Linked DNA regions of Cricetulus griseus. The protein of the gene in region 1 interacts with the protein of each later gene in a pairwise test. Links are inferred from orthologs where the notes say so. Each region holds a gene or a part of one and is shown in the gene's direction. Other genes may lie near its edges.

Evidence for each region.
Region 2: the proteins of Exosc8 (region 1) and Tfap4 interact in binary tests that used the Homo sapiens proteins (3 or more experiments, as listed by UniProt). The two-hybrid records come from large-scale screens. The link is inferred for Cricetulus griseus from reciprocal best matches to the Homo sapiens genes EXOSC8 and TFAP4.
Region 3: the proteins of Exosc8 (region 1) and Morn4 interact in binary tests that used the Homo sapiens proteins (3 or more experiments, as listed by UniProt). The two-hybrid records come from large-scale screens. The link is inferred for Cricetulus griseus from reciprocal best matches to the Homo sapiens genes EXOSC8 and MORN4.
Region 4: the proteins of Exosc8 (region 1) and Dusp23 interact in binary tests that used the Homo sapiens proteins (3 or more experiments, as listed by UniProt). The two-hybrid records come from large-scale screens. The link is inferred for Cricetulus griseus from reciprocal best matches to the Homo sapiens genes EXOSC8 and DUSP23.
Region 5: the proteins of Exosc8 (region 1) and Snrpb interact in binary tests that used the Homo sapiens proteins (3 or more experiments, as listed by UniProt). The link is inferred for Cricetulus griseus from reciprocal best matches to the Homo sapiens genes EXOSC8 and SNRPB.
Region 6: the proteins of Exosc8 (region 1) and Poldip3 interact in a two-hybrid assay, tested with the Homo sapiens proteins (2 studies listed by BioGRID). The link is inferred for Cricetulus griseus from reciprocal best matches to the Homo sapiens genes EXOSC8 and POLDIP3.
Region 7: the proteins of Exosc8 (region 1) and Exosc10 interact in binary tests that used the Homo sapiens proteins (3 or more experiments, as listed by UniProt). The link is inferred for Cricetulus griseus from reciprocal best matches to the Homo sapiens genes EXOSC8 and EXOSC10.

Annotation. Positions count from the first base shown.
Region 1 is NW_023276806.1:96,566,638-96,570,530, forward strand, and holds the end of Exosc8 (exosome complex component RRP43), read left to right. Parts: intron 1-378; coding exon 379-496; intron 497-580; coding exon 581-626; intron 627-859; coding exon 860-956; intron 957-2,149; coding exon 2,150-2,270; intron 2,271-2,770; coding exon 2,771-2,877; intron 2,878-3,176; coding exon 3,177-3,292; 3' UTR 3,293-3,393; downstream 3,394-3,893. Other genes in the region: Supt20h (transcription factor SPT20 homolog), read right to left, coding at 3,592-3,729. UniProt on the Homo sapiens protein: Non-catalytic component of the RNA exosome complex which has 3'->5' exoribonuclease activity and participates in a multitude of cellular RNA processing and degradation events.
Region 2 is NC_048600.1:42,117,273-42,120,639, forward strand, and holds the end of Tfap4 (transcription factor AP-4), read left to right. Parts: intron 1-243; coding exon 244-399; intron 400-1,780; coding exon 1,781-1,975; 3' UTR 1,976-2,867; downstream 2,868-3,367.
Region 3 is NC_048596.1:19,462,915-19,467,012, forward strand, and holds the start of Morn4 (MORN repeat-containing protein 4), read left to right. Parts: upstream 1-1,298; 5' UTR 1,299-1,457; intron 1,458-4,098. UniProt on the Homo sapiens protein: Plays a role in promoting axonal degeneration following neuronal injury by toxic insult or trauma.
Region 4 is NC_048598.1:20,242,916-20,246,756, forward strand, and holds Dusp23 (dual specificity protein phosphatase 23), read left to right. Parts: upstream 1-1,161; 5' UTR 1,162-1,263; coding exon 1,264-1,530; intron 1,531-2,338; coding exon 2,339-2,524; 3' UTR 2,525-3,341; downstream 3,342-3,841. UniProt on the Homo sapiens protein: Protein phosphatase that mediates dephosphorylation of proteins phosphorylated on Tyr and Ser/Thr residues. In vitro, it can dephosphorylate p44-ERK1 (MAPK3) but not p54 SAPK-beta (MAPK10) in vitro. Able to enhance activation of JNK and p38 (MAPK14).
Region 5 is NC_048599.1:48,439,500-48,443,610, forward strand, and holds the start of Snrpb (small nuclear ribonucleoprotein-associated proteins B and B'), read left to right. Parts: upstream 1-1,311; 5' UTR 1,312-1,458; coding exon 1,459-1,461; intron 1,462-3,542; coding exon 3,543-3,694; intron 3,695-4,111. UniProt on the Homo sapiens protein: Plays a role in pre-mRNA splicing as a core component of the spliceosomal U1, U2, U4 and U5 small nuclear ribonucleoproteins (snRNPs), the building blocks of the spliceosome.
Region 6 is NC_048595.1:380,043,027-380,047,069, reverse strand, and holds the start of Poldip3 (polymerase delta-interacting protein 3), read left to right. Parts: upstream 1-1,243; 5' UTR 1,244-1,418; coding exon 1,419-1,477; intron 1,478-4,043. UniProt on the Homo sapiens protein: Is involved in regulation of translation. Is preferentially associated with CBC-bound spliced mRNA-protein complexes during the pioneer round of mRNA translation. Contributes to enhanced translational efficiency of spliced over nonspliced mRNAs.
Region 7 is NC_048595.1:7,861,891-7,865,390, reverse strand, and holds part of Exosc10 (exosome component 10), read left to right. Parts: intron 1-1,945; coding exon 1,946-2,027; intron 2,028-3,308; coding exon 3,309-3,385; intron 3,386-3,500. UniProt on the Homo sapiens protein: Catalytic component of the RNA exosome complex which has 3'->5' exoribonuclease activity and participates in a multitude of cellular RNA processing and degradation events.

The DNA of each region.
Region 1 (3,893 bases):
TTAGACTGGGAAATATTTTTGGTCTTGGAATATCTTTTCTTTAAGGTAGAAACCACATTTAAAACTTTAATAGTTGGATGTAAGCACAGGCTTGTCCTACTAGAGACAGTTATTGGAGAAAAAAAAAAAAAAAAACAACCCAGAAAAACTGTAAAGAACTATGATTGAATCATAAGAAACTTTTAAAGCAGTATGGGAAAACTTTAGACAAGCATAAATTTCTTTTTCTCTCAGCCAGGCACTCTCAGAAAAAGTAATTCTAACACTGCCAAGCTTTCTACCCAAAGAGTCTATCCATAGCCATCACCTGTGCTGTGGGGCAGTCCCTGTACTAGGAACCTCAGCTGTCAGGGGGTGAAGTTTAGCTCATAGCTTTAGTGTTTCTTTCAGTCCCTAATGTGGATCTACCACCGCTGTGTTCATCGAGGTTTCGGACTGGACCTCCTGGAGAAGAGGCCCAAGTAACCAGCCAGTTCATTGCAGATGTCCTTGAAAAGTAAGATTATTATGAAATTTTACCGCCATGCATTATCAAATGTTTTACCTTTACATTTACTGTGTTCTTTATCATTAAATCAAGCTCACAGATAATTAAGAAAGAGGACTTATGCATTTCTCCAGGCAAGGTAAGAACAGACTGAGCTCTTATGAACTCTGAAGTGGCTGTGTGATCTAATATGATAGTGGGGATGAATCAAAAACCTTAAACCCTGAAATTAAGAGCTTAGAAGGGATTCTGTAATTGTTTAGACTTTTAAGTCCATCTTAATTTGTCTAATCAATGGTCCTGCAATTCAGGCCTAAGGAAACAGCAATATTCTATTATCAGGTCTAACTTCTTTTATGTGAACTATTTTAGCTTGCTTGGGTTCTGTACTGTGACCTTATTTGCCTAGACTACGATGGAAATATTTTGGATGCCTGCACATTTGCTCTGTTAGCAGCTTTAAAGAATGGTAAGCAGCCTTAATAAAAACATTTTCCTGCTAATATTGTCAAGAGTCCAGTTGGTCAAAACCTTTTACAGGGCTTTCTTGAGATTTAGATATCAGTCACATAATTTTTATTTTGTAAGACAGTATCCCATAGCCCAGGCTGGCCTTGAATTCCTAATCCTCCCAGATGCTGGTAATATTTTAAGTTTGAACTACCTTGCCAAGTTTGTGTTCCTAAGTTAGTCAACTTTACAGGGTTTTCTAAAAATGTTTTATGTTCTGTAGCCTTTTAGAATCTCTTTGTCTCCAGCAGCCCTTCCCAGAATTCACTGAACTTAGATAGGGGATTTTCACTATAGTCCAAGTGGCTTGTGCAGATTGACCATAAGTATTTCCTGATAGTGATGTTCCTGGTAAGGGCCTGGGTAGGTTGGTAATGTCATAGAATATCAATTGTGCACATTCCAAGTCATTCTACATTGCTGAATGGACAACAAAACTAAGCTAGGCATGGTTGTCAATGCATATATCCTCTTCCCACAGGAGATGAGAATGGCAGATTGAGGCTAGTTCAGACTGCAAAACAGTATTCTTTCTTTTTAAAACATCCAACTAACTTATAGTGGAAGATATAGTTAATAGTGGTATTAGTGTAGTCCTAGTTAAACATCAATCCAGCCTGCTTGCTTCCTCTGTAATAAAATGGTACTGAAGAGCAGCACTTACTACTTTAGGAGAGTGGGTGACCAAATCAGTGTTATAAAATAGATACTGGGCATTGGTGGTGCAGGTGGTTTGTTGGCAATACATGCCTTTAATCCCAACACTTAGGAGGCACAAAGGCATGGGGGGATATCTGAGTTTGAGGCCAGCCTGGTTACATAGTGAGTTCTAGGACAGACAGTGCTACACAGAGAAACCCTGTCTTGGGACGGGGAGATAAAAATCCAAAACAGCTTGGCTGGAAAATAAGATGTACTGAGGAGTCTTCTTCTACCATATTTACCTTAATTGTTTGAGATACTTAAAACTATACTAATATCAGGTGAGTAGTACACAACTCTAATCCCAAAGTGGGTTCCAAGCTAGATGGGCTACATAGTGAGATCCTGTCAAATAACTGTTCTGGATAAGCTAACTTGGGAAAAGAAAGGATTACAGTGAAGCTATATACCACAATCACCTTATATGTATGTTTATTTGCCTTTTTGTAGTGCAGTTGCCTGAAGTTACTATAAATGAAGAAACTGCTTTAGCAGAAGTTAATTTAAAGAAGAAAAGTTATTTGAATGTTAGAACAAACCCAGTTGCAACTTCCTTTGCTGTGTTTGATGAGTAAGTTAATCAAAAGTAACACTCTAGGTTCTAAGATAATGGCTTGTTATTTAGATATCTTTACAAGAAATGTCCCCGAGTCGACTACCAACCCTAATTTGCTGTGGACATTTGAGCCCTGCCCTGCAGTTCCTTTAGTTGGTGCTTCCATCTGCACTGCATTTTAATGTACAGGACCAATTCTATGTTCACCTTACTTGCCCTCTGTTTCTTTATGCCCTTTTTCCTGGATGGTGATGGGGACTGTATGGGGCCTGTTCATACTAAGCAAGTGCTCCATTGCTGAGCTATGCTCCAAGCTACTACTCTATAATCTTCTGAAACTGTCTTCAGTATTAGCTGCAGAACCCAAGCTGAAGAGCAGGGAGTTCAGAAGTACTGGGCTGCAGGGTGCTGCCACTCACTCTGGCTTCCTCCAATCAGTCTCTTCTTGATACCCTTCCCCTATTCCGCACCCCATGCACATTTTTTTTTTTATCACTTATATTTTTCAAATGCAGTACTTTGCTGATCGTTGATCCTACTGGAGAGGAGGAACACTTGTCAACAGGAACCTTAACGATAGTAATGGATGAGGAAGGCAAGCTGTGTTCTCTTCACAAACCAGGTATGCTCTTTTCACTGCAGCTTTAAACACTGGTGGGGAGTGGTTGTCAAGTGGAGTGTGGGAAGTTTGACTGTTTAGCTGATGTAAGTTTATGGGCTTCTTTGCTATTTTTTTTTTTTTTTGTGTGTGTGTGTGTGTATCATTTCTAAACATATCTGTTTTCTGGAGTCTTCTAAAATGAACCTGCAGAAACCACACCACTTGATTTAGATGATACTTGATTTAAAAAGTAAATATTTGACTTGATCTTAAATTTTCACGAAATAACGGAAACACTGAAAATTGGCACAATTTTTCAGGTGGGAGTGGACTTACTGGAGCTAAACTTCAGGACTGCATGAGTCGTGCAGTTTCGAGACACAAAGAAGTGAACAAGCTGCTAGATGAAGTCATTCAGAGTATGAAACACAAATGAATAGCCACCACCATTGCAAAACAGCTGTAAAAATTGTATTTGTTACACTGTGCACAGGCTTTTTATACTAAATAAATACCAAACTATGTTCTTTTTGAAGATATTTCTAGTAGTTCTTAGATGGTATATATAGGAAAACATTTAACCATGTCTCCATATAAGAATCACAGGATTGTCCTTCTGTATAAAGTATGTACATCCATCAATGTAAAATACTGACATCTTGGGGGGGGGGGATGAAGTAGAAATGCAGTTCTTTTCATTCACTGGTCTTGTAAAAAAAAAGAAAGAAAAATTGCTCAGAATTTTGGAGTGGTTGGCATGCCTCTCTTCACTTTACTCTTTGACTGGCCACCTGAATGTCGGTGACGATGTAGCTGGGCTGTTTGTGCGGCGGCTGCTGCCATAGCCATCTGATGTTGCAAGAATCTCAACTGCTGTAAAAGTGGAAAAAAGGAGATGACATTATGTTAAATGCATAGGTGTAGAAAGGTGCTTCCCCAGGAGTGATGAAAACAAGCCCAAGAGGAGAAAGCATGAGGTCACAAAGGGTACTTCCCCAAATCAGGATACTGTAGGGGTCTGCTGAGGGCTTTAAATA
Region 2 (3,367 bases), on another chromosome or scaffold:
TGTGGGCCTTGAACTCACTGTCTATCCCAGACTGGCCTTGAATTTGTCATTGTCCCATGACTACAGATATATACTACCACACTCAGCTTTGGTTAAGGTTTCTGTCTTCTAATACTGCCACACCAGCGACCAAGCCTTTACCACATGGACTTTGGGGGATATTTATCATGAGCAGATGCCCTGTGAGGAGTAAGGAAGGTTGGTGAGCAGGAGAGAGACTGAGGGCTTCTATCTATCTTGCAGCTCCTGCCCCCTCCAGCCCCGACGCACCACCCCACAGTGATTGTGCCTGCACCGGCCCCACCTTCCTCCCACCATATCAATGTTGTCACCATGGGTCCCTCCTCAGTCATCAATTCTGTTTCTACATCCCGGCAAAACCTGGACACCATTGTGCAGGTATTTGGGTTTGGGGAGGGTGGCTTGTGGGAGTTGACTCTTGGGGACAAGGTTTTTACTGGAGACTAGGGAATAGGAGATGGAAGAAAGGCAAGATGGAGCTTATGTAGGAGGAGTAGCGATCTGGATGCTTGGATAGGTCCCCTTCCCTGTGCCCAGGGGAAAAAGAGACTCCTTTCTTTTTTTAATTAAAATAAAATTTATTTATTGTGTGTGTGTGTGTGTGTATGTATGTATGTATGTATATATATATATATATATATATATATATTTATTTATAACATGCAGGAAAGATGCCTACTACATTTTTTGAGCAAATATCTGTCTCTGTATCACACACACACACACACACACACACACACACACTTACACACGATGCTCCTGATGTTTCATTACGAGGGTTCCCATTATTGACCTTGGAATGTCTTTGTCTGTTGTTTTTTTGTTGTTGGTGGTTTTGTTTCTGTATTTTATTTATTTATTTATTTATTTATTCTATAATGTTGAGATACTTGTGTCCAAGAAGCCACTATATTTTGTTAAGAAAGCAGAGGTGGGGATCCAAAGAAGCAAGAGGCAGGGAACTGTTGCTGGAGCTTGTTGCTCACCAGTTAGGATGAGCTGCAGGGAGCCTTAGGGATCTTTCTGAATCTACTCATGCCCCGCCCCCCCCATTACAGGTTCATGGCACCATGCCTGGCTTTAGTGGGTCTGGGGGCTGAACCCATGCCCTCATGCTTAAAGACAAGCACTGTGCAGACTGAATTACCCTCCCCCGCCCCTTTCACCTTTATATGGGTAGGTAGTACTTAGGCCTCCTACTAGTACTGTGAACAAAAATATCTATTTGATAAATAGTAAAACAACCTGAAAAACAGAACCAGAGAAAAAAAGAATAGACCATCAGATCCTAGAACTTTCATTGCATATATGCCCAGCCAACTGAGTTAGAGCCAATAGCAAAGACCTTTAGTGAGTTAATGGACTTCAAGATATATAAACATGAGCTGTTAAAGATTTCATTTTATTATTATCGTATGTGGATGAGTGTTTTGCTTGCATATATGTATGTGTACATGCATTTGTAGTGCCCTCAGAGGGCAGAAGAGGGTGTGAGGTTTCCTGTTACCAGAGTTACAGACTGTGAGCCACCACGTGGGTGTTGGGAATCGAACCCAGTGCTCTTAACCACTCAGCCACCACTCCAGTCCCTGTGCTTGTCATTTCTAACATCTAGGGCTATGGTTTTCTGGAAGCCAAGCCCTTCAATCCCCCTACCTGCTTTGAAGAGTTCTGGGGTATGTGTTTTGGGGGCAGACAGCAGCTGGCTGGCCTGGTCTCCCCAGCCGAGTCTCCTAATTGATTGTCCCTTTCTGTCCAGGCAATCCAGCACATTGAGGGCACCCGGGACAAGCAGGAGCTGGAGGAGGAACAGAGACGAGCGGTTATTGTGAAGTCTGTCCGCAGCTGCCCAGAGGCACCTACCTCCGATACCGCCTCAGACTCCGAGGCCTCGGACAGCGACGCCATGGACCAGAGCCGGGAGGAACCTTTAGGGGACGGAGAGCTTCCCTGACCACCCCTCAGCCCTCCTCTCCCTCTGGGGGTCAGAGGGGGCCGGGGTAACAACAGGGAGAAACATGGGTGAATGAGTGAGAAATTTTTACAAAATTATGATGTCATTTGGGTCTCTTTTATGACCTCTTTTTCAATACTGTAAGTCGACCTTTGATCGAAGCCACCCAAGCCCAGGTCCCGGGGTTGGGGTGGCATAGCACGTGTGGGAGCATTGGGACTCCAGGGCTGGGCCTCGGCCCTGGGGCCGGGGACGCTGACACTGAGGTGCCGGGCCTCTCTCCGCCAAAAAGCTTTTTTTGTTTGTTTGTTTGTTTTCCTTCCATTTAAACGTGTTTTTAAGAACAGGGAAAATCAAACAAAACCCCAAGGTATTTCCTCCCTCCCCAGAGCCAGTCCGAGACCGCCAGTCTTCAGCCCCCCTTCCCTCCTCTATTTGGTTTTCTGTTTTTCTCTTTTAAGCACTTACATGGGTTGGGGGTCAGGCTGGGTTGGGGCTTTCTGGGGACCTGGGAGTTGTTTCGGTTTGTTGTTTCTCGGTTGGGGTTTGCTGCTGCCATTCTCCCTCTCCCCTCCCTCCCCACCTCAGCACCGGAATTGGCCACACTCTCCACTTCACCTTTCCCTCCGGGGTTCCCATCATCGACCCCAAAAATGTCTTTGTCTCTCTTTTTGTTTTGTTCGTTGTTGGTTTTATTTTGGTTTTGGTTTCTGTATTTTTTTACGATTTTTCTTTTTTCCTTTTTTTTTTTTTTTTTTTAATAATTTTGAGGTCTTTGTGTCCAGGGAGAAGCTATTATATTTTGTTAAGAAAGTGGGGGTAGGGAACAAAATACCAAGAGGCCATTGTGCCTTTGTAAAGAAACAAAATAAAATTTGTACTTTGTTTTTTACTTTTGTGTTTCTTGAGGATGTACTGTTGTGGGTGTTATGTTTTTGTTTAAATTAAAGATAAAGAAGAAGAGGCAGATGAGACATGTTAACCAGTTTATTATTAAGCCCGATAGAGTAGGGAGACTAAGAGAGAAGAGGAACAGGGGTAATGGCTGCCCGCCGTGGCTGGTCGCCATAGAGAGAGAAGAGAAGCAGAAGCAAACAGAGTGAAGAAGAAGCAGCAGAGAGAGAGCGAAACAGGGAAGTTGGAACTTTTAAAGGGAAGACTGGGCATGCGCACTGAGATTCCACGCATGCCCAGAGTCCTCACGCAGGCCATAATGCGTGGCGGGTGACGTGGTGACGTGGTGATGACGAGGCAGTTCTTCTGTGTGTGCCCTGTTGTCAGGGGGTAGGGTCTGTCTCTTAAAGAGGTAGAGCCGATCAGCATAAAGCCTGAACCTTTCATTCCCACCTCTACTCATTATTTTAAAAGGTGAGGTGTTAGACATGGCACATT
Region 3 (4,098 bases), on another chromosome or scaffold:
TTGCTGTTCGCATCAAGCTTTCGCCTCTGCCTGGTGATTGGGGTTGCTGCCTGGGCAGAAACCCTTGGGGCCTGAGCCTCCAGGGGTCTTTCAGTACTGGGCATTGTTTTAAGTATTTTACATGGATGAACTCATTTAAATGCCATTATAGCTCCTATGATGTTGGATGCTGCTTCCTAAGGAGACAAATCAGTTTGCCCATACTTAATAAGCCTTCTTGCTAATCAAAGAAACTACATTTATACACTTCTTGCTAATTTACAGGTCTTTCCATGATTTACCCTTATACAGTCTATGATCTTATCTAATTTCTTCATATTTTCTAACATGAATTCTAATATTCTCCTTTTTCTTACACTCCTACTCTCAATGATTGTAGTTTAATCTACAATTGATTTCCCAGATTAGCTTATATTACCAATTGAGTGTTAGTACCACATTAAATCTATTGGTTCAATCTCATTTTACAGGGTAGAGAGCTTAATACGTTACTCAAAAAACATACACAATTAATAGCAGAGATAGAATTTGAACACAGAATCCAAAGTTTTTAAAAATAACTTCAAACCACTATTCCTTTTTACATTGTGTTCTCATATAAGTCCTGAAAAGCCATTATTATTGACATCATTATCATTTTCTAACCTGTGGATGAAGAAATCCCCATCCAAAAAGCAATTTGAAGCAACTTGCCTTGTCTTGTAATAATAAGTCCTATGAGAGAAACAACAATGACCGTGGCTTTCCAAGCCTGGCAGAACTTGACATCATGCTGCACGCACACGGTTCAGTAAACAAACATATGGACACACCGATATTTGGGAACATTATTTGGGAAGACTTGCTCCAAGAATGGCAACACATTTTAAATGCAAAGGATGTGGGTCATAACCAGTCCCTGTGAATGCAAAAGTGCAGCGCCTTGCTAAATTATAATGCTGAGCTTCTAAAGCTGGATTTAGTTTCTCTCTTCTGATTTTGCGGTGGAGCTGTTTATGAACATAAAAATTAGAACCTCTTGAGCTGGTGGCCACTTTGGACACACCTTCGGCCTTATATGGGATTAAAGTTTCTGCCTGGAAGTCTCCGGAGAGATGAAACCTGGGTCCTCCTTTTCTGTTTGGCTGATGGAAGTGAGACAGAAGGCTCAGCCCCACCCCTCTTTCAGATATTTGGCCCAGGCTCCCAAAACATTCGGCCCCTCACAAAGATGGCACGGAAGAAGAGTGGACCAATGGGGAGTGGCGTTGCTCGTGGTTGCCTAGGTAACAGCCAATGAGCAGCGGGAATTGTGCCCAGTGCGGCCATCAGGGATGGCGGCGTCCAGTGGGACTGAGGCGGGTGGAGGTGGCGGAGAGGAAGGTGTCTGTGGGGAGCCGAGAGGAGCAAAGATCCTGGCCGCTGGAGCCCAGCGTCGCGTCGGGGCGTGACGGTCGTCCCCAAGAGGCCAAGCTCAGGTTGGCCCGTGGCGCGGGTGGAAGGAGGATGCGGGAGTGTGGTCCACAAAGTGGGGACGGAGGCGTCAAGCCGGTGACCCAGGCTGGGGAGTGCGCCTCTGTCCGGGCTGTACTGACCAGAAGGTGGCTGCGGGTGGGGTCCCAAACCTGGGTTTGGAGTTTCGATCCCGAGATCGTAGCCCCGGAGAACACAGGGCACTGGTTATGGAGAGGGGTGTGCCGTGCTCTGTCTGGAGGGAACGCCTGACCTGTGAGAGCTAAAGAGCCTGTGGGGTGGGAGCGGACCCCAAAAAGTACGGAGCCAGACTGAAATGAAAAAAAAAAAAAAATGCAGCTGAGGACTGGGTTTCCTGGTGAAGGTCTAGGGCTTTGTTTGATCTGGGGCGCGTCTGTGCCACAGGTAGGAAAACGACCCACGTACGGAGGCTTGGGGAATGGGTTGTTTCAGTTACTTGGCATCCGGCATCCACAAACTGCTTAGGTGCCAACCAGAGCCCGAGCCAGGCATTCTCTTTTCCTTTGACATTCTCTTTTCCTTTGAGATAGAATAGTGTTCTGACAGTATTACTCCTGAGAGCCCATAGCTCTCATGTCCCCATCATCTTTTTTTTTTAAAGGTTTTATTATTTATTATGTATACAACATTCTGTACACCAGAAGAGGGCACCAGATCTCATAACGGATGGTTGTGAGCCACCATGTGGTTACTGGGAATTGAACTCAGGACCTCTGGAATAGCAGCGGGTGCTTTTAACTTCTGAGCCATCTCTCCAGCAAACCCCCCCCCCCATCATCTTTTTAAAAGCCTTCTTTTTTTTGGCTGGGGCAGTGGTGGCGCACGCCTTTAATCCCAGTACTAAGGAGTCAGAGGCAGAAGGACCTCTGTGAGTTCACGGTTTACAGAGCGAGCAAGTTCCAGGACAAACTCTGTCTCTGGGGAAACAAAAACAAAAACAAAAACAAAAACAAAACCCTTTCTGGTATCAATGTTCTCTTCTCACCTTCTTAAATCTAAGTATCTGACAGTCTTCCTAAATAAGACCTGTTTGTAGTAACAATGCCATTGCTTACTTACCAAATTGAAGGGAGATTATAATTATATATTCAAAAGCCTAATTATTTCATTTTCACTTGAAACAGTATTCCCGGTTTCCTAATCTTTGTTCGTCACAGCTTTCTTTTTCTCCACTTAGGGCTCTAAAATCCCATGGTTGCTTTCTTTATAATAACTAAAAGAACTGTGTAAGACTGCCTACTTGAGAAAAGTGGCTCTGGCCTTGGGAGATGCGTGGGTAGTTAAGGTGGCTGCTCCCAAACAAATCATCTCTAACTGGGAAATAAGTGTTCTCAGGTTGGGGAAGTGATTGCAGTTATTTTGTTTTAAAACTTCTTAATTTAATCTGGATATGATGGAGCATGCCAGCACTCGGGAGGCAGAGGCAGGTGGATCTCTCTTGAGTTAAGCCCAGCCTGGTCTACATAGTGAATTCCAGGTAAGCCATGACTACAAAGAGAGATCCTCTTTCAAAAAACAAAGAAGACTTCTTAATTTAGACAAAAGTTACTGTGGTGAATGCATAAATGGCCTTTAGTAAGCTTGATTTTTTAAAAATAATTTATTTAACTTTATTTTATGTGTATTCGTGTGAAGGTGTCAGATCTCCTGGAACTGAAGTTACAGTTGTGAGCTGCCATGTGGGTGCTGGGAATTGAGCCGGGGACCTCTGGAAAAGCAGCCAGTGCTCTTAACCGCTGAGCCATCTCTCCAGCCCCAGTAAACTTGATTTTTAGAAAAGAGAAACGCTGGGCGTTGGTGGTGCACGCCTTTAATCCCAACACTCGGGAGGCAGAGGCAGGTGGATCTCTGTGAGTTCGAGGCCAGCCTGGTCTCCAGAGCAAGTGCCAGGATAGGCTTCAAAAGCTACACAGAGAAACTCTGTCTCAAAAAAACAAACAAACAAATAAATAAATAATAAAAAAGAGAAACAAGCTGGGTGGTGGTGCACTCCTTTAACACTGGCACTCGGGAAACAGAGGCAGGTGGATCTCTGTGAGTTTGAGGCCAGCCTGGTCTACAAAGTGAGTTCCAGGACAGCCTCCAAAGCTACAGAGAAACCCTGTCTCGAAAAACCAGAGAGACAGACAGACAGACAGACACACACACACACACACACACACACACACACACACAGAGAGAGAGAGAGAAGCAAACAAGAATCTGGAGAGATGGTTCAGCAGTAAAGAGGGCCAGAATTGAGTCCCCAACACCCACATGGTGGCTCACAGCTACCTGGAACTCCAGTTCCAAGGGATATAAGCCCTCTTTTGGCCACCATGGGCTCTTGCATACACAAACTATATACACTCACAAAGGTTCATACACATATACATAAATGTAAAGCATTTTTAAAAAGAAATGAAAGCAGCTGGGTGGTGGTGGCACATGCCTTTAATCCCAGCACTTGGAAGGCAGAGGCAGGCCGAGCTATGTGAGTTTGAGGCCAGCCTGGTTTACAAAGTTCCAGGACAGCCAAGGCTACACAGAGAAACCCTGTCTCAAGAAAAATAAATAAACTACAGAAAAAAAAATTTGTCACTGTCTTAAAGTTCTGTTTGGAAGAAAAGAATTATAGCAGACTAT
Region 4 (3,841 bases), on another chromosome or scaffold:
TGCTGTGGGCTTAGGTCAGTGTGCCCAACTTCTCTCGGCCTCTGGTTGCTGGTGTACAAAAAGGATACAAAAATACTCTCCACATTTTGTTATTTGAGAAAGCATACAACACAGACAGGGCCTGGCACAGCGCTAACAATTCCCATAATTACTGGTAGTCAGATTCACGGTACCTCGTTCAGTAGACAGCACGCAGTACCCTGAACCCGGGTGAGATACTGCTCAAGAATAACACTGATAAACTCTGTCTGACCAGGCTAGAGTGACTGGGGGAGCAGGACCTTGAATAAGGAGATGTCTGAACTGTGAATAAAATTTTTTAAATACCCAGGGCTTTAAACAAGATGGTGTTTGGAAAGGTGTGAGGATGGTTGAGTGATGGAAATGCCATTTCCTGTTTGACTATAGGAAAGTGTTGTGCTGTTGACGATTCTTAACCTCCTCTGTGTCTCAGTCTTCTCATCTCTAAAAGGGGGCTGCTTTCATCAACTATCTTGTGCCAATTCGCTAACATATTAAGAGTGCTTGCACGAGTACATACCACAAAGCAAACGCTCAGTTATTGCTAGCTGTTATGTTGTTGACTGTAATTACCATATTACCCTGAGCGACATTTCAAGGTGCCACATGTCAGAATCCCCCCTCTCCCCGAGCCACGCCCTTTTTTAACAGTCCCAGCAATAGTAAATGATAATTGCCTGGGACACAGGAATCCCCTCTTACTAGAAGAACCCAAGAAGACACCCACAGTGACTGCTTGGACATTAGGGAGATTACCCACCCACGCCTGCGTGACCAGGCGGAAGCAGCTTTGTCACCAACTCAAACCCCTGTGCATAAACAGTGAAGGGGAGACTAGGCCCTTAAGAGTGAGTGACAGGGCAGCTGGCCCGCCGTGCAGTAACTACAACACACCACCAGGGAGCAGCAGAGCCCAGCCCTAGGTGGTTTTGTCTACAGGAGCAATTAATTTGTTCCAGGTTTCCTTCGTGTATCCGCTCCCGGCTGCAATCACCGAGCTTGTTGTTGATCATCCAACCTATCAACGAGGGTCCTGCTCCGGATCAGCGGGACCAGCGGGCCCGCAGAGCTCGGCTCGTCTAGGAGCCGTCTTAGCCCCGCCCCCGCGGCTCGGCCAACCCTGGGTGGAGAGGAGCGTCACAGGGGCGGGTCCGGGGACCACGTGGCCCGCTAAGGGGGTGACCGGGTCGCGAGGGCGGAATAGGCAAAGCTGGCCTCGCCCTGAGTGCCCTCCCCCCCGCGATGGGCGTGCAGCCCCCCAACTTCTCCTGGGTGCTCCCGGGCCGGCTGGCCGGGCTGGCGCTGCCGCGGCACCCCGCGCACTACCAGTTCCTGCTGGACCTGGGCGTGCGGCACCTGGTGTCCCTAACGGAGCGCGGCCCCCCTCACAGCGACAGCTGTCCGGGCCTCACGCTGCACCGAATCCACATCCCTGACTTTTGCCCGCCGGCCCCGGAACAGATCGACCAATTTGTGAAGATCGTGGACGAGGCCAACGCCCGCGGAGAGGTCAGCGCGCTCGCCTAGGCCGAAGCGAAAGGGCGGAGCCTGGACGGAAATGAGTGGGCGGGGCGGGGGTGGAGTCAGAAAGGAGAGGGCGAGGCTGTGGGCGGGGCCTGGTGGGACCCGGCTGGGCTGGAGCTAGATGAAACCCACCCATCCTCTGACTAGAGTCAGCTCTGCTGCTAGAAGAGAGGGAGGCTAGGTGATGCCAAGCAGGCTGGAGAGAGTACTGTCAAGTGAAATGCTTCCAGGAGTCGGCGGAGCGCCGAAGCCAGATGGAAGTGGTTCAAAACCCATTTTCTAGAGGTCCATATGTCATGGAGACACACTTGTAACTTTAAATTTTACTAGCAGCTACGTTTCATAAAGAGATGAAACGAAACAGGTGGAGTTAATTTTGCTACTAATCCAATAAGTCAAAAATATTATTTCAACATGGAATCAATATGAAATAAATTATTAGTGAGGCATTTGCAGTCTTTTCCGTGCCACATCTTCAGAGCCTGGTAAATATTTTACACCCAAGCTCAATTTGGACTGACACATTTCAGGTAAAAAATACCACAAGTGGCTGGGTGTTCTGTAACAGACAGCACAGATAGAGGGGGCAGGAGATGCAGGCTGAGAGCCCAACTTGGGAACCAGCCACTTCTGAGGCCTCCATGTCACCAGAAGCAAGGACAGTCCTCAACAGTGTTGCTGTCACTTGCCCTCTGAGGGCCTGAGATTTGTGGGGAGAACAGCACCTTTCGGTGGGAACAGGAGACTGTTGGGGAGGGCATTGGACTCCACTCCATGGGTTTCCTCTTCACAGGCTGTCGGAGTGCACTGTGCCCTGGGCTTTGGCCGCACCGGCACCATGCTGGCCTGCTACCTGGTGAAGGAGCAGGGCTTGGATGCAGGGGATGCCATTGCTGAGATTCGGCGCCTGCGGCCGGGATCCATTGAGACCTATGAACAAGAGAAAGCTGTCTTTCAGTTCTACCAGCGAACAAAATAAGGAACTCGACAGCTCCCCCTGTCTGCTGCTGCTTGTGGAAAATGTGGCCAGGGAGGATGGAAAGTGGACTTAAGTTCTACAGCCTTCAGCTCCCTTTGCCTCCTATTGGACAGAAGTAGTATTTCCCCGAAGCCATAACCTGATTGACAGGATGGCTGAGACCCCATGAATATAAGTTAATAACTAATAAGAACTCATTTGCACTGCATGGCGTTACACAGCACTCCCAGTACATCAACTCCATGTAAGCCCTGGGTTGTAGAAAAGATAAAAGCCATTTCTGTTCTTTGAATGAGGTGGCTAGAGCTCATGGTCACAGTTCTGGAAAACAGAAGGATGGGCCAGGACTGCAACACACGCTTTTGTCTCCTTGAAGATGTTGAAATTCTAGGTGCTGTTCCCTAAACGTATGTGATATGGTTTCTAGAGAACGGGTTAGTGAAAGAGATCCGTGTCTCTGGCCACCCAGCTCCGAGCAGCCTCGGGGCTCTACACTCCCACACCAGGAGTGTCCTTGTTGATATCACCCCTTATGTAGGCTCATCTGCTCCCACTTGGGTCACCTTTGTTCTTCTCAGGGTACAGAAGACTTGGGTGTCACAGATGTCTCTCTTCTCCCCCCTTCCTCTCCCCCTCCCCCTCCTTCTCTCTCCCCCTCTTCCCCTCTTACCAGCCTCAGGTGTACCCAGCTCATTTGTTACCTCCAGCCTCTGTGTCATCCCCAGCCTCAAGCCAAGGAATGCCTGAACTGAGTCTTGGTGGTTATATAGAGTGGATATTAAGTAATCAAATAAATAACTCTGGGCTGTGACTCTTGGCCATGTTTCTTGGGTTTTGTCTTCTTCACGTCTCCCCTGTAGGGCTCCATTCTGCCATTGGCACCACACTTTGGAGATGAGATGAATGTCATACATGAGCCCAGTGGACTCTCTTATAATGTCAGTCTGAATTTTTGCCCTGTCTTCTGCCATAACAGGCTGAACTGAAGAAGGGAGATCCACCCTGAGATATACATCGAGTGCCTGTGTGAACTAGGTGCTGTCAGAGGTGGAGGCGACTCAGCAAAATAAAACATGATTCCTACTCTCAGGAGAAGATAGGTAGTGACAGTCCATTCCCACATGACAGATGCTAAAGGCCATTTCTACTATTGCAGGCTCAGCACAGAATAGTCAAGAATTCCCCTATAGCCTCCATCTCTTGTATTGAAGACCAGAGCTTCGCCTATGCCATCCCCTCCCCAGGACTTCTCTCCCCGTCCTCTGCTGGCCCTAACTAAACATTATCCAGCTCACCCTTCCACAAAAGGCTTAGTTA
Region 5 (4,111 bases), on another chromosome or scaffold:
GGCATATAAACAACAGTTAGAAGTCACTGAGCAGAATAAGATTAATTCATTCAGCAAATAATTATTGAGCCTTTATGCTAAGCAGTGATCTAAGCAAATAAAACACTATACTCTAGTGGAGCTTACATTCTAATGGGGTAATAAAATAACTTAAGAATATAGACAGTAATCATCTCTTATCCCAGTCTATAGGTCTGAAAATATTAAATGGAAAATTCTAGAACTAAGCATTTAATGTTCTAAGTCATGCACCATTGTGACTAGCATGAGGAAATACCATATTTTTGCCCTAACCACAAATCTTCCCTTTGTGTAGGTTTCCACACTGCATACGCTACCCTCTCGGTAGCTAGAGGGATCATCAGATCAACTGACCTGCGTTGCAGTGTTTGTGTTCAGGTGGTCCTTGTTTTGTTAATAGTCCTAAAGCACTTAATTAGTGATGCCGGCAATTCAAAGGTACCCAAATATGCTTTCTTTAAGTGGAAAAGCACAAGTTCACTGAAGTATACATATGTAGAAAAAATACAGCATATTCAGGGTTTGGTACTGTGACTCGGAGAAGGTACTGGGAGTCTTGGAAGGTAACCCCTCCAACAATGAGGGGACTACCGCTTAGCATGTCAGATAGCAATCAATATTAAAGACAAAAAATGGGAAGGACTCGTTTCTTATCTATCTATCTATCTATCTATCTATCTATCTATCTATCTATCTATCTATCTACCTACCTACCTATCTATAAAGAGAAAGGACGATCAGGGAAGTCCTCACCAGGACAGTGTTATTTCAGTCTAAACATGAAGAGGAAAGGGCGAGACAAAAGCAAATGCAAAGGTACAGATGAAAGAACATTTCAAGCCTTAGGGGAAAATCAGTAAGAGTGAGTTCTGTGAGTGAGTTCACGAGAGCGCTGGGTTCAAGAACTGGAGTAGGGGAGGGGTTCCGGGGAGAGAAACACGCCACCCTCGCGGAGACTAAGTTGGGAAGGTGTGTGTCCAACGAGGATCCAATGCTTTCAAGGGCGTTCAGTTTGATGTTTATTACCAAATATGATGGTGTACGCCCGCGTCGGTACTAAGGATGCTATAGGTAGGAGGATCGGAGCTTAAGACCAGCCTGGGCGACACAGTCTCTAAAACAAAACAAAACGAGAGGGAGAGCTCGATAAAATTAAAACGAAGAAAAAAAAAAAAAACCAAAACCACACACACCAAAAAAATCAAAACAAAAACAAAACCCCAAACAAACCGGCCGCAGTCAACACCTTTCCACGCCCTAAACTGCTACCAGGGCCCGGAACTCCGGGGCGGAGGCCGAGCCGGAAGTAGCCTCACGAGGGGCGGCACTTTGCGGGCTGCATTTCCGTTAGCGGCGGCGGGAATCGCGCTGCTGGCTGGCGACTAGGCCTCTGTGGAAGCGAATCCGGCGGGCATCTGAGACATCGGAGCCGCCACCATGGTAAGAAGGCGCGGGCTGGCCGCGGGGCGCTCAGGGGTGCGGAGTGGGGCGGTGGCTGGCGGCGGCCGTGGGTTGAAGCCGCCCGTGGCCGACAAGGTCGGGGTCGAAGCCGCTTAATCCGGGCGCCAAAGGCCTGGACTTGCGGAGCGGCTGGGCCCGGGTGGAGGGGAAGGCTGCACCGGGGACCGAGGCCGCCGTGCGTGGCCCGGCGCCTCTGCGGTTACAGTTCCGCGGCCTCGGTAGCTGGAAACGTGTGCCGGGTCGCTGTGTGCCCGGGCTCCCGGAGCGGACGCGAGCCTCCGGCCGACCGGGGGACACCGGGCCGGACGGAGGAGAGGCGGAGGGAGCGGGAGGGTGGAGGAGAGTGTTTGCATGCAGAGCGCGACCCTGCTACGCGTATTTTTATGTTGGGGTATGTCAGGCGCTGGGGCTGCACCCTGAAATAAGTTGTGCGTTGGTTCAGTTTCTGGCTCTGTGCAGGGCTAATGTGATTCTCTATGGCAGTTCGGCTTTAGGCAAAAAAGTAACGGCAGGGGGAGGGGCGGGACGGGTCCAGAGCAGACGCCCAAGTGATTGTTTAGGAGCGCCCCGCTCCCCTGTACGAGGGAGGGTTAGAAATCTGGAGAACCGAGAGGGCCCAGTAGAAGGCAACGAATTGTCAGGAACCTGGTTGCTGAAGTCCCTGCATCTTGTTTTCCCTCTTGGTAGTAAGACATCGCTGGAAGAGTTTTCACAGGCTTCATGGACTTAGGTTTAGAAAGGTCAGCCGGGAAAAGTGGCCAGTGCTCGAAATTTGTAATTTCTGTGCATAGTAGGCAGAGGAGCTTGAATTTTGAAGCCAGTTTTGGCTACAGAGCAAATGTAACAAATGCCTCGAATGTCTCCAAAAATATTAGTCTAGTTAAGTAGCTGAAGAAACCCGAGGTAGCGAAAATAGGTTATTGTTTTTGAGAGTTGACTGAGACAAGTCCTTACTTAACCTTCAGCTTGGGTCGTCTATTTGGTCAGTAAAAAGGAATGACAGTGGACCCAGTTTTGAGGATTAAAGGAGATAAATCCTTTTCAAGGGCCTAGCCATACATAGCTATTAAATATTAGCTATTGGACCGATATACGCCGATCCTAGTAACAGAGCTCTTTGAGATGATTATTTAAGCAGAAAAAAATACAAAATCTGGTTTTCAGGTTAGGGCTGGGTAATGCTCACAGGGGTGAACAGCGTTCCTGGTACAGAGAAGACAACTTGGGTAGTTAAAAGTGACATAATGCCAGTTATAGTTGTGGGTAACTGATACGTTTCTGAGAGAGACTACCACAGATACCTCTGTTCACCTAGGGGTGTGTATAAGCGCCTTTATTTTTGCAAAGTTACATTGGGAACCAGGATAGAGAATGTTGTTTGCCTTAATTAAAAATTAGACTATTATATTATATATATATATTAGACTATTAAGTATCCAAACTAATTAGCACTCTGGCCCAGAAAAGTTGCCCAAGTTACCCTACTCCTGTTCTTGCTTCAGAGCTGGTTTCACTTTCTGGTAATAAGCTTTTCCTTAATTAAGTGAATCCACTTAGTGCCTGTTGAATTCCAGTTCTTAGTTTAGATGGATTTAGTTGTTCGTAGAACTGAGTCTATATAGTGGTGGATGGCTTAATGCCCACTAGGTCTAGTATGGGTGGATTTGATTAGTTTGTGAACACTTTAACTCTCCTGAGACAGATACAACATAGACAAAGTTGTAGTCCCAGGGAGATTGCCTGTTTTAAGGGCAGGGAAAATAGCACATTAATGGGCAGAAATCAAGGCTAAAGCTGGTTGATAAGAGTCTCAGAAAAGGACCTTGTTTGGAAGATGTCAGGAAATTGTTGAGAAGGTTGGGAATAGAAAAGTAGGCTGTGGTGGAAGATGGGGGCGGGGAGCAGAAGTGTGTGAGCGAGTCCTCCCTGCTCCCTCTTTGCAGACTGTGGGTAAGAGCAGAAGTGTGTGAGTGAGTCCTCCCTGCTCCCTCCTTGCAGACTGTGGGTAAGAGCAGAAGTGTGTGAGTGAGTCCTCACTGCTCCCTGCTCTCTCCTTGCAGACTGTGGGTAAGAGCAGCAAGATGCTGCAGCACATTGACTACAGGATGAGGTGCATCCTGCAAGATGGCCGGATCTTCATCGGGACCTTCAAAGCTTTTGACAAGCATATGAATTTGATCCTCTGTGACTGTGATGAATTCAGGAAGATCAAGTAAGGAGAGGGCTGTTGGGAGGGAGAAGGAACTGGGATGGACTGGATGGATGGGCGGGCCAAGAGTGGGATGGCCATTCAGCTAGGTGCTCTTGTTTGCTCACTTGCTTTTGAAGGGAGAAACTTAAAGGGGAATGTTAGCTGCTAAGGAATCTCTTCCTTAATCCAGAAAACCTTGCTCTCCAATTCTAGCAAAGTAGAAGTTGGTGAGGAGGGCTGCTAGGCTTTTAATTTTTCTGAGTTTGCATGCCCCTGGGTACTGGGGTAAAGGGCTCTCATGTTCTCCCCACAGGTGTGTGAGGGGGGAGAGCTTGATTTTCTGGCCTCATTACCTATTTGTAAAGCTGTAGCCTAAAGGGCTCTCCTATTGCAGCCTGGTCTGAAACTGCTTTAAGAAGCCTCTGACCCTCTTCAGGG
Region 6 (4,043 bases), on another chromosome or scaffold:
ATGTGAAATCGGTGTTTGAAAGGGAACTGGTCTTACTCTTTGAAAACAAAACTAGGATTAGGAGATGTGCTGGACCCGGCCCGGGCCCTTTCTGCTTCAGTTTTCCAGTCCACCATGTGGGCTAGTGATTATTCACTCTGCCTAGACCTGAGGCTCATTTAGAAAGTTTCAGTGGCCCCTTGACTCCCAGAAGTTGATCTTGGGGTGTGGAGAAATCACTCCCTAACACATGGAATTGGGAAAAATCAACCTGCTCCAAAGATATCAGGAACTAGTGAAAAGAAAAGGAATTCACAAGAGGGTAACACTTGCTTATGTAGTATGCTGGTGTAGAGTTGAAGTCCTCCAGAAGAGATGCTGTCACTGGAGACTTGTCCCCAGCAGGACCCTGGGCACCCCCTCCCCCAGTGCAGCTGGACTCCGGGTTCCACATCTCCGCACCGCTCAACTGGCCCCGACACACTGAGGCTAAACCTGCAGCTTTCCCTTTGCCCACTCTGGGATCCCGCACAAATAGTGACAGCAAAGAGAAACAGGAGAGACAGAGCATGAAAGCAAGAGGCTGGTGGTCTCTACTTAAAATTAAGGAAAGGGAACACCCAACCTTAGCTCTACTCTTGGGACCAAGATAATTCTTCAGACTCAGATGCGGTGCTGAACTTGCAGAGTTCTCCGGGCTTCGACCTAGCTTTTCATATTTTCAAACCCGGAGGTGGACTTGTACCTTCCACCCTACAGTAGGTGGCTAAAAGCCTCGCAGCCTGTTTGCTTAGCTAGGGATATTTAAGGAGTTCCGTGCATGCACATAAATGCGGCCTATTATCTCCAGCAACCGGGCTGAGCTGCTCGCCAGCTTTCTGACTTTCTTTATCGTGTGGGGGGGTCGGGCAGATTACCGCACCCAGGCATCCCGCAAAGTAGGCGGGTCGCCTTAGGGGGCAACCTTTACCCGCTCAAAAATTCGTCTCACATTAGCAGTGAGGACTCGGGCGTCACCCCGAATCGTTATTTTCCTTACTCATAAGTTTAAGGCATAAAGAGTTTCTGCCCGGCCCTCAGTGGTAAGGAATTAGATTCGCATTACAAGTATGGTGAGTTTCAGATCGTCCATTGAGCCGATAGACTTATTTATATGAACGTTTTCTAGTGGTTACCAACTTCCATCATTTTAACTCTTCGTCTGTAAAAGGAAGGAAAAAAATAATGCACCACGTTTCGGCTTTCTATATGCAGATTAGAAGTGGCCACCGCAAAGGCTCACGGGGAGCGGGCCCCACCCCTTCCGTTCCGAACTTCGTTTTGAGTTGTCGCGAGAGTTGGTTGTCCGGGTGTCGGAAGCTGCTCGTCGCTCCGAAAGTGTTCAAGGGGCGGGCTCGCTGCTGTCGCCTCCCCACTCTCCGCTAGCTCGGTGGCGCAAGATGGCCGACATCTCGCTGGACGAGCTCATCCGGAAGCGCGGAACGGCGACCAAGGGACGGTGAGCGGCCTTTCCCTTTATTCGGGGCTCGTGGGGCTCGTGGGGCTCGCTGCTTCGTGGGGTTCGGGGGCGGAGGACGGAGCAGTCCCGGTCGCGACGCGAGAAGCCGCTTGCGCCCGCCCCCTGCGTCCGCCGCGCTCCTTATTGGCCAGGCCGCGCGGGCCCATCGCCTGCCAGCCCACTGGCTACCGGGCCCGGGAGGCCCGGCCACAGGCGGGCCCGGGGCTGGGCAGGGCAGGGCAGGGCCGGGCCTTCCTACCTGGCTACTGGGTCCGAGGGCGACGGTGGCGCAGCCCCTGCTCGGGCCTTGCGGCCCTCGGAATTAAGAGGATGGAAGTTGAGCGGACGAGACCCTAACCCAGAGCTGTAATAGCCAATTCTCCAGGTTCTCTCAAGCCACTGTCGTGAACCCTGACCCGCTGAGAGGCGTTTTAGAGTTTTCATATGCCAACTGCCTTGTTCCTATCACTGTAGTGTCTGTAATGTTTTTTTTTTTTTTTTTTTTTTTGCCTGTTTTCTTGAGACGGGGGCAGGACTCGAACTCACTGTGTCTTGAAGACAGGCCTTAAATGCCTGGATCCTCTCTGCTTTCATACCCTAAGTGCTGGGATGACAGGCGAGTTTGTTTCTGTTTTGAGAAGCTGGCGTCCTCCATGTTGCCCAGGCTGGTTTCGAACTCCTGCCTTAGTCTCCCGAGTAGGTGGGGCTCCAGACACTTCCGTGCTGTTTACTTACCTTATACCGGCTTCACAGATAGGAAGCTGGAGCCTGAGAGAAGGTAGAGTGACTTTCCCAAGGCCACAGAGGCCTCAGAGTTTTAACTGCTGGCTGAGTTGGCCACTGGCAAGGGAAGAAAAAGAGAGGGTGTATTGGTGTTCACTGATGGATGTCAGGGAGTTTTAAGTGAGAAGCACTTAAAAGACTCAATAGACTCTTAAACATTGGTAGCCATCTTTAGCTTATAATTGGGGATATTGAAGATGAGGCCACCAACGTTAGATGAGTATTAGCAACTCTATCCTATCACCGAAGGATACCAGAGTGTCTAACTGGTTAGGGCCACTGGCAGGGTGGAATCTGCCTCTGTGACCTGAGACCCCTAAGAAGAGGCCATAAGCTTCTTCTTCTTCTTCTTCTTCTTTTTTTTAATAGGATTCTTTTTTTTTTTTTTAAGATTTTATTTATTATGTATGCAGTCTTCTGCCTGCATGCAGATCTCATTCAAGGTGGTTGCGAGCCACCCTGTGGTTGCTGGGAATTGAACTCAGGACCTCTGGAAGAACAGTCAGTGCTCTTAACTGCTGAGCCATCTCTCCAGCCCCCATAAGCTTCTTTTTTTATGGCAGAAAAACATACAAAGGGTGGGGAGTCAAAGGAATAATCTTCAGATTAGGTCTTGAGGGGAGGCCAAGGAGAGGAGTGCACTTCGGATTTTACAACTTGTGATAACAAGGTGTGTTTGTGCAAGCTTAATGGGGTTTTCTTACACAAGTCTGTGGTTATTTTAGCACACCTCTTGACATAGCTGGGGTCTTGTCTTAATTTTTAACTTGTTCTCCCAGCAACTGAGAATATAGGGCAAGGGCCAAGCAATAGAAGAAGCTGGGTAGGTGGGCTAATGTTCAGACTTACTCTGGACCCTTCAGTGATTTAAACTTGCCAGTGGTAACTTGGCTAGTGGTCCAGCACATTTACAAACTTAAGAGTTTCTAAATGCCCCCCTGTAGAGATGTTCTGTTCTCCCAGACACTGATCTGCTCAGCAAGTGTTCATCCTCCCCCATGCCTGTGTCTAGCAAAACTTCTGTCTCCTACACTGAAATGTACTCTAATCTCAGCATTACTGCTTCCATCACCACCCAGTTCACCAGTTCCAATTGTCACCTGTCTTCTGGGTCATAGTGACATGACCCATGAGAGATAGTTATTGACAATGATGATGATTAAGCCAATTACTAGTTTTGAGTCCTTTTATTAATGGCCAGACCGAGAGCTGCCTCTGAAAGTCTCTTGGTGACCAAGCTCAGAGATGTCACTTTTTAAGACAAAACCACAGTTACATCAGTGCTGGGACACAAGGGCCACATTAGTGAAGGATTTGGGGTAGCAAGAAAACACCTGTTTTCTTGCAAAGCTCAGCAGTGTTTTACATAACTTTTTTTGTGTTTTTTTTGTTTTGTTTTGTTTTCTGGTTTTTGTTTTTGTTTTTGTTTTTCGAGACAGGGTTTCTCTATGTAGCTTTGGAGCCTATCCTGGCACTCATTCTGGAGACCAGGCTGGCCTCGAACACGCAGAGATATGCCTGCCTCTGCCTCCTGAGTGCTGGGATTAAAGGCATGCGCCACCAACACCTGGCAACAATTATTTTTATTTACATTTCCTCATAGTTATTTAGTTTTATGTTTAAGTTTGCATAGACATCAGTTATGTTCGTTAATACATCTGGACCATGGACTGTCATGGACAGTCCCAAAAGCCATTATAAGGTGGACTTGGCTATTGAAAGTGGAAGGCTAACTGTGCAGTGGTGGCTCACTTGCCTTTGATCCCTGCACTCCAGAGGCAGA
Region 7 (3,500 bases), on another chromosome or scaffold:
TCAGGTGGGCTTCAGATCTCTGTAGGCCGCTGAAAACAGAGGAGAGGCCAAACCATAGCCCAGTCCTCGGAAGCCTTTGGGAATCTCTGCGACAAAGGGTTTGGGGCTGGGGTCAGAGCTCAGTTAGTAGCGTGCTTGCCTGGCTTGTATGGAGCCCTTGTTTGATCCCAGCACCACATAAAGCTGGAATGGAGATGCACACCTGTAATCTCAGCACGCGGGAGGTGACAACAGGAGGATCGGAAGTTCAAAGTCATCTTCAGCTCATAGTGTGTCCTAGGATAACCTGGGGTCTGTGAGGCCCAGCCTTAAAAATACAAGAAGAAGCCTGCTCTGGTTCACAGGCTATCAAAGTAGGATAGTGTCTGCCTAATGTATGAGAGCCTGGGTTCAAGTTCAGCACTGGAAAGTTAACAATGACAAACTGTTTTGTGCTTTTCTAATGGAGTAAATTATACATAATAAAGTACATAAATGATATAGTTTATAACACTTGTACATGTGTATGTCACTTCAAGGCTCTTAAAGGGAGCAGCTTGAAACTGAAGAGGCACTGCCTTGCACTGTGGACAAGAACACCCCTCCCTCCCACAGGTCCTCTCTGTGACTGGGAGGTGGCACACTGATTCAAAGCCTCCATTTTCCCTGTAGGCGGGATGTGTTTGGTGTAGGCACCCAGACAGGCCTGAGTCCTGTGTTAAGAGTTTAGCCTGCTGCTTTTAGCAATGGAGAGTCCCAGAGCTAGCACAATGGCTCAGTGGGTAACAGCCCACCACCGTGCCTGAAAGCTGAGTTCAATCCCAGGATCCTATATGGTGGAAGGAGAAAATGGACTCCACGTTGTATCTTTACCTTCACACATGCACAGCGTGCACACACACACAAAGTGAATAAGATTTAATGGAAACAGCAGGGTGGCTGGGTGTGATGGTGCGCGCCTTTAATCCCAGCACATGGAAAGCAGAGGCAGGCGATTCTCTATGATATTGAGGCCAACCTAGTCTCCATATGAAGCTCTGGGGAGCCAGGGCTACATGGTGAGGTTCTGCTTCAAAAGAAAAAGAATAATAATAACATTAAAATTAGAAAAGAAGAAATGGGAAGTCCTGGACTTGGAGACTTGGCTCAGTGATAGCGAACTCTTAGCAAGCCCAGGGTCCTGGGTTCAGACCCAAACCAGGGAAAAAACAGGCCAAGTATAAGAGCCACATCTTTAATCCCAGCATTTCAGAAGCAGAAACAGGTGGAGCTCTGAGTTCAGGGTTAGCCTTGTCTACATAGCAGGTTCCAGGGCAGCCAGGACTACATAGGGAGACCTTCTCTTTCACCCACCGAAAGAGGGGGCGGGCACTGGAAATAGGGAGTCTATAGTATATAACTGTAAACCCAGTACTTGGCAAGAGAGTGGGTTTAAGGTCATCATTGGCTGCATAAAACCTTTTATGTCAGCCTTGACTCAAAAGTCAAAATAAGAAAGACCAAGTGAGTGGGCTTTTCTTTATCTCCTCCTCCCTGGTTGTGGCAAACCCTTCAGCTGTCCATCCCTCCTGGTGCTCATTTGGGTCACCAAGATATGGACTGAGGTCACAGCTCTAAGTGGGACAGAAAGGGAAACAGGACCAAGGGGGGACTCCTCTTGAGCCCAGCTTTGTTTACTAACTGGGCCACTGGGCAAGTGACTAAGGCTTCCTTCCTGTCCTGGAGGGAGGGTGGGCTGGATGGAATGAGATGTCTGCTATAAGCACATGCAGCCTGGAGTCTGGGGTCAGATGTACTTTGTCCTCTTAAAGCCAGCCAGTGTGGTGGCTCAGAATATGTATCATTATTAGGTTAGCATGCCCTCTGTTGCCTCTTAACAACTAGGACATCCTAAGTTCCTGAGTTTAAGCAGGGGTTTTAATGGTTTTGGTTTTTTGGTTTTGGTCATTGTCTGTTTTCATTATAGATCAGCAACCGCTGGAAGCTGGCCAGTCAGGTCCAGAAAGAACCTAAAGAAGCAGCCACGAAGAAGGTAGCCGAGCAAACAGGTAGTGTTCGAGTGCTTGTAAGTTCATGGTCTTTTGTAAGGTGTTCTGTGTTGCGTGGGTTGGTCGAAGTAAGGAGTAAGAGGTCACTCCAAGGTGAAGTTTTAAGGCCTGGATGGCAGCAGGAAGGCCCGGCCTCTGGTGAACTGAACATCATCAGTCAGTCATACAAAGGCATGCTTATTGATTGTTACAGAGTTGTTTTTAAGATAAAGTGTTTCCTCATACCCAGGCTCCTAGTCTAATCCATATGTCTCTCCAAAGGAGAGCATCACATGCACTCATGACTTTTAGTCCTCTATTTGTGTCGTTTGCAATACGTGATAATCCAAGAGCCTCAGGTGTGCCAAAGTCGTCTTGTGACCAAAGTCATGTAAAGGCTGCAATGCCCCTAGAAAAACAGTTCTACAAAACGCTGAAAATAATCACTGTTTTCAACAAAGATTCTTTACTGTTTAGCACAATAATTCTTCAAGGTCAAAGCACTTCTAGAAAACAAGTTTTTATTCTCATGTCTACCCCAGATACATCAATTCTGCTAAGTTTCTACAGTAGTCTTTGCAGAGACAGCCCTAGCATATCAGTCTGATTGAGGATGTTGAGGGACAGGTGTCTAGTAGGGATCCAGGGCCTCACTGACAGACAGGGCAGTGGGCAGAACCCGCCCAGCCTCAACCTCTTAGAGTTCAACTTTCCCTGGGGGTGGCACACAATCACTTCCTGTGTGTTCTGCCCCTGTAAAGTGGGGGTGCTGTGTGTAGAGAGGGAGGAGGCAAAGAAGGCGCTGTGTGGGTGCTGGTGAGAAAAAGCAGCCTGGGTCACCTGAAGTTACCAGCTGGCATGGGTCCATGGGAAGAGTGGACTGAGGCAGAGACCAAGGTCCCATGTGGTAGCTGGCTGGCATGCCCAGAGTACCCAGGGAAGAGAGGCAGGCAAACAGGCAGAGCCTCCTGGCTGGCTGGTCCTTAGAGTGACTTGGCAGGGCTCTGAGCCAGTGGATCCAACTGATACAAAGTAGAGGACAGAAAGCCTGAGTCTAATTAAGAATGGTTAATAGGTGCCAGAACTAGGACTCATCCTTTCTTAGAACCTGTAAGCTACTGGGTGTTTCCTGGCTTCCTGAGAGGCACAGGCAGGGCAAGCCTGTTGGTTAGAGCCTACAGTTAAGGCTCTAACTGAGCACTTAGCTGAGCCCAAGGTGGAGGGAAGGGCAGCACCACCAGCCCTTGTGCCCAGGTTGGGTGGACAGATGGCAGGAAGTCCACATAGGGTTTTCTCTCACAGCTGCCCGGAAACAGGCACAGGAGGAGTCTGAAGCTACTGCGTTGGAACAGGCCATCCCCGTGCGGCAGCAGGCTGTGGTACGTGCAGTAGATGCCCCTGGTCATGTTCCGAGTTTTCCTGGACCATTGTCGGAGGGCTCACTCTACACCCCAGTCAGTGCCCATCTTCTCAAGTCAGGGGATACGAGAATTC